Ovis aries: one gene and its partner. Each later gene encodes a partner of the first gene's protein in a complex. Links are inferred from orthologs where the notes say so. Each region holds a gene or a part of one and is shown in the gene's direction. Other genes may lie near its edges.

Evidence for each region.
Region 2: the proteins of CMKLR1 (region 1) and RARRES2 are in contact, whole or in part, in a cryo-EM structure (PDB 8ZJG), measured with the Homo sapiens proteins. The link is inferred for Ovis aries from reciprocal best matches to the Homo sapiens genes CMKLR1 and RARRES2. Residues at the interface, in NP_001135815.1 of Homo sapiens: Asp20, Tyr21, Leu22, Asp23, Ser24, Ile25, Val26, Val27, Leu28, Phe88, Leu92, His95, Tyr103, His104, Asn116, Leu119, Ile120, Met123, Arg178, Leu183, His184, Gly185, Lys186, Ser188, Cys189, Phe190, Asn191, Trp203, Thr205, His217; in NP_002880.1 of Homo sapiens: Leu34, Phe37, His38, Phe60, Thr75, Ser76, Cys77, Arg96, Leu111, Gly112, Arg113, Leu114, Val115, His116, Cys117, Pro118, Ile119, Thr133, Leu136, Arg137, Gln139, Arg140, His146, Ser147, Phe148, Tyr149, Phe150, Pro151, Gly152, Gln153.

Annotation. Positions count from the first base shown.
Region 1 is NC_056070.1:64,708,581-64,712,781, forward strand, and holds the start of CMKLR1 (chemerin-like receptor 1), read left to right. Parts: upstream 1-1,401; 5' UTR 1,402-1,661; intron 1,662-1,807; exon of another isoform or gene 1,808-1,942; intron 1,943-2,630; exon of another isoform or gene 2,631-2,714; intron 2,715-4,201. UniProt on the Homo sapiens protein: Receptor for the chemoattractant adipokine chemerin/RARRES2 and for the omega-3 fatty acid derived molecule resolvin E1.
Region 2 is NC_056057.1:113,909,621-113,913,587, reverse strand, and holds the start of RARRES2 (retinoic acid receptor responder protein 2), read left to right. Parts: upstream 1-1,167; 5' UTR 1,168-1,230; intron 1,231-1,476; exon of another isoform or gene 1,477-1,731; intron 1,732-2,233; 5' UTR 2,234-2,337; coding exon 2,338-2,511; intron 2,512-2,733; coding exon 2,734-2,838; intron 2,839-3,741; coding exon 3,742-3,852; intron 3,853-3,967. UniProt on the Homo sapiens protein: Adipocyte-secreted protein (adipokine) that regulates adipogenesis, metabolism and inflammation through activation of the chemokine-like receptor 1 (CMKLR1). Also acts as a ligand for CMKLR2.

The DNA of each region.
Region 1 (4,201 bases):
TCATGGGAAATGGATGGGGAAACAGTGGAAAGAGTGGCTGACTTTATTTTTGGGGGCTCCAAAATCACTGCAGATGGTGATTGCAGCCATGAAATTAAAAGACGTTTACTCCTTGGAAGGAAAGTTATGACCAACCTAGACAGCATATTAAAAAGCAGAGACATCACTTTGCCTACAAAGGTCCATCTAGTCAAGGCTATGGTTTTTCCAATGGTCATGTATGGATGTGAAAGTTGGACTGTGAAGAAAGCTGAGCGCTGAAGAATTGATGCTTTTGAACTGTGGTGTTGGAGAAGACTCTTGAGAGTCCCTTGGACTGCAAGGAGATCCAACCAGTCCATCCTAAAGAAGATCAGTCCTGGGATTTCTTTGGAAGGACTGATGCTAAAGCTGAAACTCCAATACTTTGGCCACCTCATGCGAAGAGTTGACTCACTGGAAAAGACTAATGCTGGGAGGGATTAGGGGCAGGAGGAGAAGGGGACGACCGAGGATGAGATGGCTGGATGGCATCACCAACTCGATGGACATGAGTTTGAACTCCAGGAGTTGGTGTTGGACAAGGAGGCCTGGCATGCTGCGATTCATGGGGTCGCAAAGAGTCAGACACAACTGAGCAACTGAACTGAACTGAACATTTGCTAAAGGACTTCCCCTGGTGACTTAGTGGTAAAGAATCCGCCTGCTGAGGCAGGAGATGCTGGTTTGATCCCTGGGTCAGGAAGATCTGCTGGAGGAGGAAATGGCAACCCACTCCTGTATTCTCGCCTGGAAAATTCCAAGGACAGAGCAGCCTGGCGAGCTACAGTCCATGGGGTTGCAAACAGTTGGACCCAACTTAGCAAGTCAACCACTACAACAACATTTGCTAAAATCCAATATTACAGGACATTTAAATTTTTGTTCATTAGATACTGCAAAAAACCTCATTGCTATTTTAATTTACCCAAAAAAAAAAAAAGAAAAAAAAAGGAAACAGAAGGTCGTGAGGCCACGAATAGGGGCAGGAAGCAGGAAGGGCATCCAGGTGGAAGGAGTCGCATGCACAAAGGCCTGGGGTGGGGGTGACGGGCAGTGGGACGTCAGGCAGCTACGCTCCTGCGTAGTCTGTCTGGAGCTCCGGAGGCTCTTGCTGGGAGCAGACGCGCTTCCCACAGCTGCCCCGGGGCCTGCATGTGCTCCTAGTTTGTGCTCAGACGGTGGGCACCGCTCCCAGCTCCCAGAGGGGTGGGTCGTCCCGGGCAGACCTCGCCACCAGCCGCCGCCCGCCTGCCCGCCACAGGCAGCCTCCCCAGAAGGCCCCCACTCCGTGCAGCTGGCCGCCCCCGCCCTCGGTCAGCCCCGTTTCCTGCCCCTCCCTCTCTCCTCCCTCCAGCTGTTTCTCTGGCAGAGTCCTGTCCCATTCAGCCCCCAGTGAGCAAAGAGGGCAGGACAAACCGGGGGTCTCCCTGGGAGCCTCCGGGGGATGAGGATGTTCCGGGGGTGCTGTGCTCTGGGGTCTCTGGGGGGCCCATGAATGAGGGGGTGAACTGCTTTTTTGGGCAAACGGCCCCAGGCAAAGAACAGTGTGACTTCGAGGAAGAAGTTGGGGATCACGCGTCTCCTGCACAACCTCGAGTGACCTGAAGTCAGAGAAGACCTGGGCAAGACCAGCCACAAAGGTATCAAGCTTGGCTCTGACATTGATTGCCCAGAGGAGTCGGGTTGCAGGGGTGGGGGGTGTGGGAAACAGTAATAGAGAAGCTCTTTGGCTCTTGGTAAAATGTAATTTTTGTCAAAATGGAAATAGCTATATTATGATTTTCAGATTTCCAAAGTGATGCATGCCAATTGGAAAAAGCCAGCGAGGTCACCATAGTTATAAAAGGCAGCGAACTCTATGTTTCTTTTCTGTTAATGCTCCCGGCAAGCCTACAAGGGAGGTACTTTCATCGTGCATGTCTTACAGGTGAAGAAACTGAGATTCAGATTGGGGAAGGCACCAGCTCAACGCTGTGGAGTCGGGTAGTGGGGTGCGGAGCTGAAAGTCTGTATAACCCACCTTTTTAGCTGCTGGAATGTCCTACCTCTCAGCTACAGAGAAGAAAGAGGGGTTCTTAACCCAGAGGTGAACCTTCAGGTGCCTCTCTGTGTCACTCACTGACTCACTGACCAACCTGTGATGTTTGTGGAGTGCCTACAATGTACCACCGCATAGGAGCATCTAAATGTGGACACACACACCCTTTTCTGACAGCTTGTGTGGTACCCTATAGTGAAAGTGTTAGTCTCCCAGTCCTACTCTTTGTGATCCCATGGACCATAGCCCCCCAGTCTCCTCAGTCCAAGGAATTCTCCAGGCGAGAATACTGGAGTGGGTAGCCATTCCATTCTCCAGGGGGTCTTCCCAACCCAGGGACCAAACTTGGGTCTCCTGCATTACAGGCAGATTCTTTACGGTCTGTGCCATCAGGGAAGCCCATGTTTGGTACCCTACCTTGTCCTTAACCAGGGATCATGAACCTTCATCTGTATTATCTACTTTCCTCCAATATGCATTTTAAAGGCTGCATGGAGAAGATGGCTTGGGATTTATTAATCATCCCTCCATGTGGTTGCCTCCTTTTTTTTTTTTTCATTATTATAAACAGAGCTGCAGCGGCCACTCCTAATACATCATCTTTGCCTGCGTGTCCTGTGGACAACTTTCCCAAGGTGAAATTGCTGGCTCCAAGGTTTGTGTGTTTTTAAGGCTTTCGAGGCTTTTAGCCGCATTGCCCTAGAAGGTTGAGCTGGCTTGCACTCTCCTGGCCCAATATTGGGGTGTGATATTCTCACAGCCTCATCTACACTGGTTGTCACCTGTCTCCTAAAATTTCCCTGATGGGAAAGGTGAGAATAGCATCTGGCTGCTTGAGTTTTCATTTGTTCCTTCATGCTGAATATCCTCTACAATCCTGTTATTCACTTTTGTGACTATCCTGTTCAAGTCAATCCCCATTTTTTTTTTTTTCTTGCTGGCATGTTTGTCTTTTTTCTCATTGATGTTTAGGAGTTCTTTATATATGAAGGATGTGAATCCTTTGCCAGTGCTAGCTATTGAAAATTCCAGTCCCCCCTCTGCTTTCAAATGAGCATGTTTTAAGTAGGTGAGCCATTTGGACCAGCACTTGGCAAAATTACAGGCAAATAGCACATCATTATACTCAAGTACCTGCTCCTTGCTGTCAGTCTGATCACTCAGACCTATGTAGTTCAGAGAGGCTAGAGAACAAGTGGACGAGTCTCAGGTCTGTCTTCTCTCTCTGTTCAAGTGCCCGGCTCCCAGCTTCCTTTTTGCCACCCCCGACCTCCTCTTCAAGATCAATCTTCCCTGTGGTTCTTGCTGTTGATTTAGACTGAGTTGAATTAGACTCAGGACTTCTCAAAGGGCCATCCTGGCACCATGAGCATCAGTTTTTTTGAGTTAGAATCCCTGAGGATGGAGTGTGGGAGTCTGCATTTTGAACCAGCACCCCTGACAATCTTGAGAACCACCGAGCTGGAATCCTTGATCATCCCCTTTGCCCAGGTTCTTTGCTGGGTTCTTTGCTGCACGCACACTGAGCTGCTTTTTTTCATTCCTAAGCAAATATCTATGCACTTCTGCGAGTCTGCATCTCCTGTGTCAGCAGGAAAAGCCAGGAGGCAATGGTGGAGAAGAAATGAAACTCAGTCTCACACCACAGAAAGTCAGATCACATTAGCAGTCATCCAGCCTGCGGGCTTCGACATTATTTTAAGCCACAGAACGCCTTCCTCCGATGAAATTACATGGAGAAGTGCACTTTAAAGACAGATAAAAGTGACGTTATTCTAGTGGAGGACTCCAGACGGCAGCTCATTGAACCTCACTGTCACTGCTGAAGGGCCTTTAGGAACCTTCATGGCTCTGGGGGGCAGGTTGAAAACTAGAAAATCTACTCCCGATTGTTAAAACACCATCGTTTTTAACCACTGTTGAATTTGCTACGTGACCTTAGGCAAGGTACGCCCGTTCTCTGGCCCTAAGCTTCTTATTTGAAAAAAAGGAGGTTGAATGTTGTATTAGTCAGGGTCACAGTTGCAGTAACAAATAGACCCAATGCGTACAATGGCTCAAAGCAAACAGACATTTGTTATAAGTCAGGCATTTGTGAGTGGAGCCTGGTCCTCTTCCACAGTGAGTCAGTGAGCCACCGCA
Region 2 (3,967 bases), on another chromosome or scaffold:
GACCCCAGCTCTCATCTCTGCTTAGTGATTGTTGACAACTCGCAGATGGGACTGAAATGTCCAAGGTGGGATTTCAGCCCCCAGAACTGGCTAATTGAAGGCGAGGATCTTTCTGGCACCCCCAGGGCACATTGCAAAGGAAGCTCTGGGCTCCACGTGGAGAATCCTGCCAGGGGTGCCTGGGAAGGGGACCAAACACAGGGTCATCCATCCCTCTCCATACATCTCCCTGTTTAATCCTCCAAACAACCCCCTAGCGGGAGGGCCTCTGGCCCCCACACCACAGAGAAGGGAGCAGAAGGTTCAGGGGTCCTGGTGGTTAAACCAGGTCATCTTCCTGAGGGCTTCCCTGGTGGCTCAGCTGGTAAAGAATCCGCCTGCAATGCAGGAGACCCTGGTTCGATCCCTGGGTTGGGAAGATCCCCTGGAGAAGGAAACGGCTCCAGTATTAGGCCTGGAGAATTCCATGAACTGTGTAGTCCATGGGGTCGCAAAGAGTTGCTCACGACTGAGCGGCTGTCACTCTCTCTCCGTGGGCAACAGGCAAGGGGCAGAGGGCCTGGGACTTAGGTAGCAGCGTGTCTGGTGGCTGACACACCAAGTCCCAGGGCTTGTTCTTATTTGCTCAGCAGCAGCAGGAGCTGAGCCCTTGTTTTCCCCTGACCCCCCAGCAGCCTTCGGAACCCCACCATGCCGCCCTTCACCCACACGGGAGACCCTGGGAGCCCATTGCCACCACAGACAGGACGTGATCCTTCACGCCTGATGTGTTTGCTGGTGTTGGAGACACCCTCCTTTTCAGTGTGTTTCCAAGGTGCAGGGGGACGGTTCAAATGACTCGTCGAGGTCTCCTGGGGTTTGAGGAAGTCTGGATTTCTGGGAAGAATTTTCTGGAGTGAGTGTCTTGGGGACTGCCTGGAGGGGCCTGAGGGGAAGGGGTCGCCCTGTTCCTGGGGGCAGGGCAGCGCCCGGGCTGGGGCGGCCCGCTGGGCCAGCGGGAGGGGACGGGAGGGCAGGGCCGGACAGCGCAGGGCGGGGATGAGGAGGGGAATCCCGGGAGGGCCGTCGGCCAAGGCCGGTCCCGGCGGGCGGGCGGGCGGGGAGGAGCCGCGGGGCGCTGGAGGGGGCCCAGGAGGAGGTGGGAGGAGACGGGCGCGCCGCGGGGGCAGCCTGACGGGTGCCGGGAAGAGGCCGGGACCGCAGGGGAGACCCCGAGGCGCGGGAGAGGAGGTGAGGAGGGGAGACCCCGAGGCGCGGGAGAGGAGGGGAGGGGGGAGACCCAGAGGGAGAGGAGGGGAGGGGGGAGACCCAGAGGGAGAGGAGGGGAGGCGGGGAGACCCCGAGGCGGGGAGACCCCGAGGCGCGGGAGAGGAGGGGAGCGGGGGAGACCCAGAGGGAGAGGAGGGGAGGGGGGAGACCCCAAGGTGCAGGGGAGGAGGGGAGGGGGGAGACCCCGAGGGAGAGTAGGGGAGGGGGGGGGAGACCCCGAGGCGCGGGAGAGGAGTAGGGAGGGAGCGCGGGGCGGGTAAAGGGCGCAGCTCCGGAGGCCGGCGTTTGTCGGCTGCTCCGCGAGCCCTGTCCTGTCTTCGAGGCGACGGCTTGGCACCTTTGCCCGGCGGGGCCTGGGTCTCCACACCTGGGGCTTTCTGGTCCTCGGGAGGCTGCTCTCGGGCAGAGTTCTCGGGGAAGTCCGGCCCTCAGGCGCCCCCCATCCCAGTCTCGCGGATTGAGGTGCGGGGTTGGCGGGCTGGGAGAGGAAGGCTCCAGAAAAGAACAAGGCAAGGGAGGGAGACTGCCTAAGAAGACAGAGGAGGCGGGGTGGAGGAGGGACCCCCATTTTCTGGGGGAAGTGCGGAGGTGGTGGGGCCATGGCAACGGGCTCTTTCAGCACAGCGAGGGTTAAGTGGGCTCCTAAAGCCCACCCGCCCTGGGCCCCTCCCACATGTTTATGTCCTCCCCAAAATATTCAGCCTCCATTCCTCCCCCACAACCCCGTTTTGGGCCCCGGATGGTGAAGATGGGGGAGGCCCGTAGAGAGAGCTGGAGCAGGCCCTGCTCCCCAGCTTTTGGCCCAAGGACTGGAGCGGACCCAGCACCTACCTCGGATAGGGCCAACCTGGGCCGGCCTTGGGAACAGTGGGGCCGGATGGGAGGAGAGGGATGGGTCAGGGGAACACAGTGGGGTGGGGACGGGGTCTGCAGGGCCAATCCGCGTCCCCCCACCTCTGCCCAGAGCCCACCAGACGCGGCCCCGAAACACGGGGCCCAGGAGCCGGTGGCTCCTCCTCCAGACCGACGCACAGTCCTCTGCAGGGTCCGGGAGACAGAGGTGAAGCCATGTGGCAGCTGCTGCTCCCACTGGCCCTGGGGCTGGGCTCCATGGGCTTGGGCAGGGCAGAGCTCACGGCAGCCCAGCACCGGGGCCTGCAGGTGGCCCTGGAGGAGTTCCACAAGCATCCGCCTGTGCAGTGGGCCTTCCAGGTGACCAGCGTAGACAATGCCTCGGACACGGTAAGCGCCAGCCCAGCGAGGGGAGGGCGGGATGGGGATCAGGAGACCAGAATGTGCCCCCCACCGAGAGCAGGTGCCCCGATGCTTGGGCCCCAGCAAGCCGCCCAGCTCTCCGCTGGCCCAGCCGCCTGCCCCTGCCCCAGGGTGTACTGCTGGGAAGCAGGGACAGGTCACACCGGCACCTGCTCAGCTGGGCCGCGGGCCTCTCTCGTCTGTTGGCAGCTCTTCCCGGCCGGGCAGTTTGTGAGGCTGGAGTTCAAGCTCCAGCAGACGAGCTGTCGGAAGAAGGACTGGAGGAAAGCAGACTGCAAGGTCAAGCCCAATGGGGTGAGCTGATGGCAGGGTGCGTGCTCAGGGCAGGAGTGGGCGCAGGAGTGGGCAGTGGACTTCACAGTTGGAGAATCCTGAGGTTGGAGACCCTGGGGCGGGGCAGCCTCCCTGGCTCTGACCGGCCTGCCTGCCTGCACCCGTGGCGGTGATGGCTGTGGCTGGGCTGAGGGGGCCGCAACAGGCAGGGAGATGGACACACAGGTTCCAGAGCTGGTCCACCCAGGCTGCAGGTCACTGGCGGAAGGACGCCGTGGTCCCCACCTTAGGCCTAGTGAACTTCCCATTTCTCATGAGTTTTCAAGGGGACGATGGCTCGGCCTGGGCTGACTCCTAAGAGGGCTTGACTATTGTCAGCCACCTTCGGGGCCAAGTCACTGCCATGGGGGTGATCCCTGGGCTCGGAACACAACCACTTCTGCCAACCCCCAGTCCTGTTCCTGCGCTGGCTCGTCAAGGCTTCAGTCACCTCCCTCTGCTGAGGAGTGCTGGATCAGACTAGTGCTTTTCTGGACTTATACACCGGGATCCCTGTGTTCAATTCAAATCTTGCAAGAAAACAGAACATACAGATAAATGTAACAGATGGCAGCGCAGTGGAAGCCAGGTGGGGAGAACCTGCCTGTGTCAGACACAGCCAGACACACAGACATACACACAGTTTGAAAACTAAGTGCCGCCTACAGACAGACACATACACACAGACACACACACACACACAGTTTGAAAACTGCAGGATAGTTCCGACTTGAAAATTCCCAGGCCAGAGCTAGGCTGCGCCTGGACCCAGCTGGCCTGCCAAAGGAACAGGCCCCACTGCAGGCTGGCCCTAGGTTCCGCCCTCACAGGGCTGCACGCCTCCCTTCACCCCTTTCCTCTCTGGCCTCCACACCCGCTCCCCAGAGAAAGCGGAAATGCCTGGCCTGCATCAAGCTGGACTCAAAGGATCAAGTCCTAGGTCGGATGGTGCACTGTCCCATACAGACACAGGTTCAACGGGTGAGGAGGGGGCTGGTAAGGTGGGGAGAGACTGGGCCTTGGGAGTGGCCTGGATAAAGAGGTTTGGGGGTGTCGAGGAGGGGTTCTGGGCTCGGCCCAGACACTCCCTGGGAGGGGGGAGGGGGGCAAT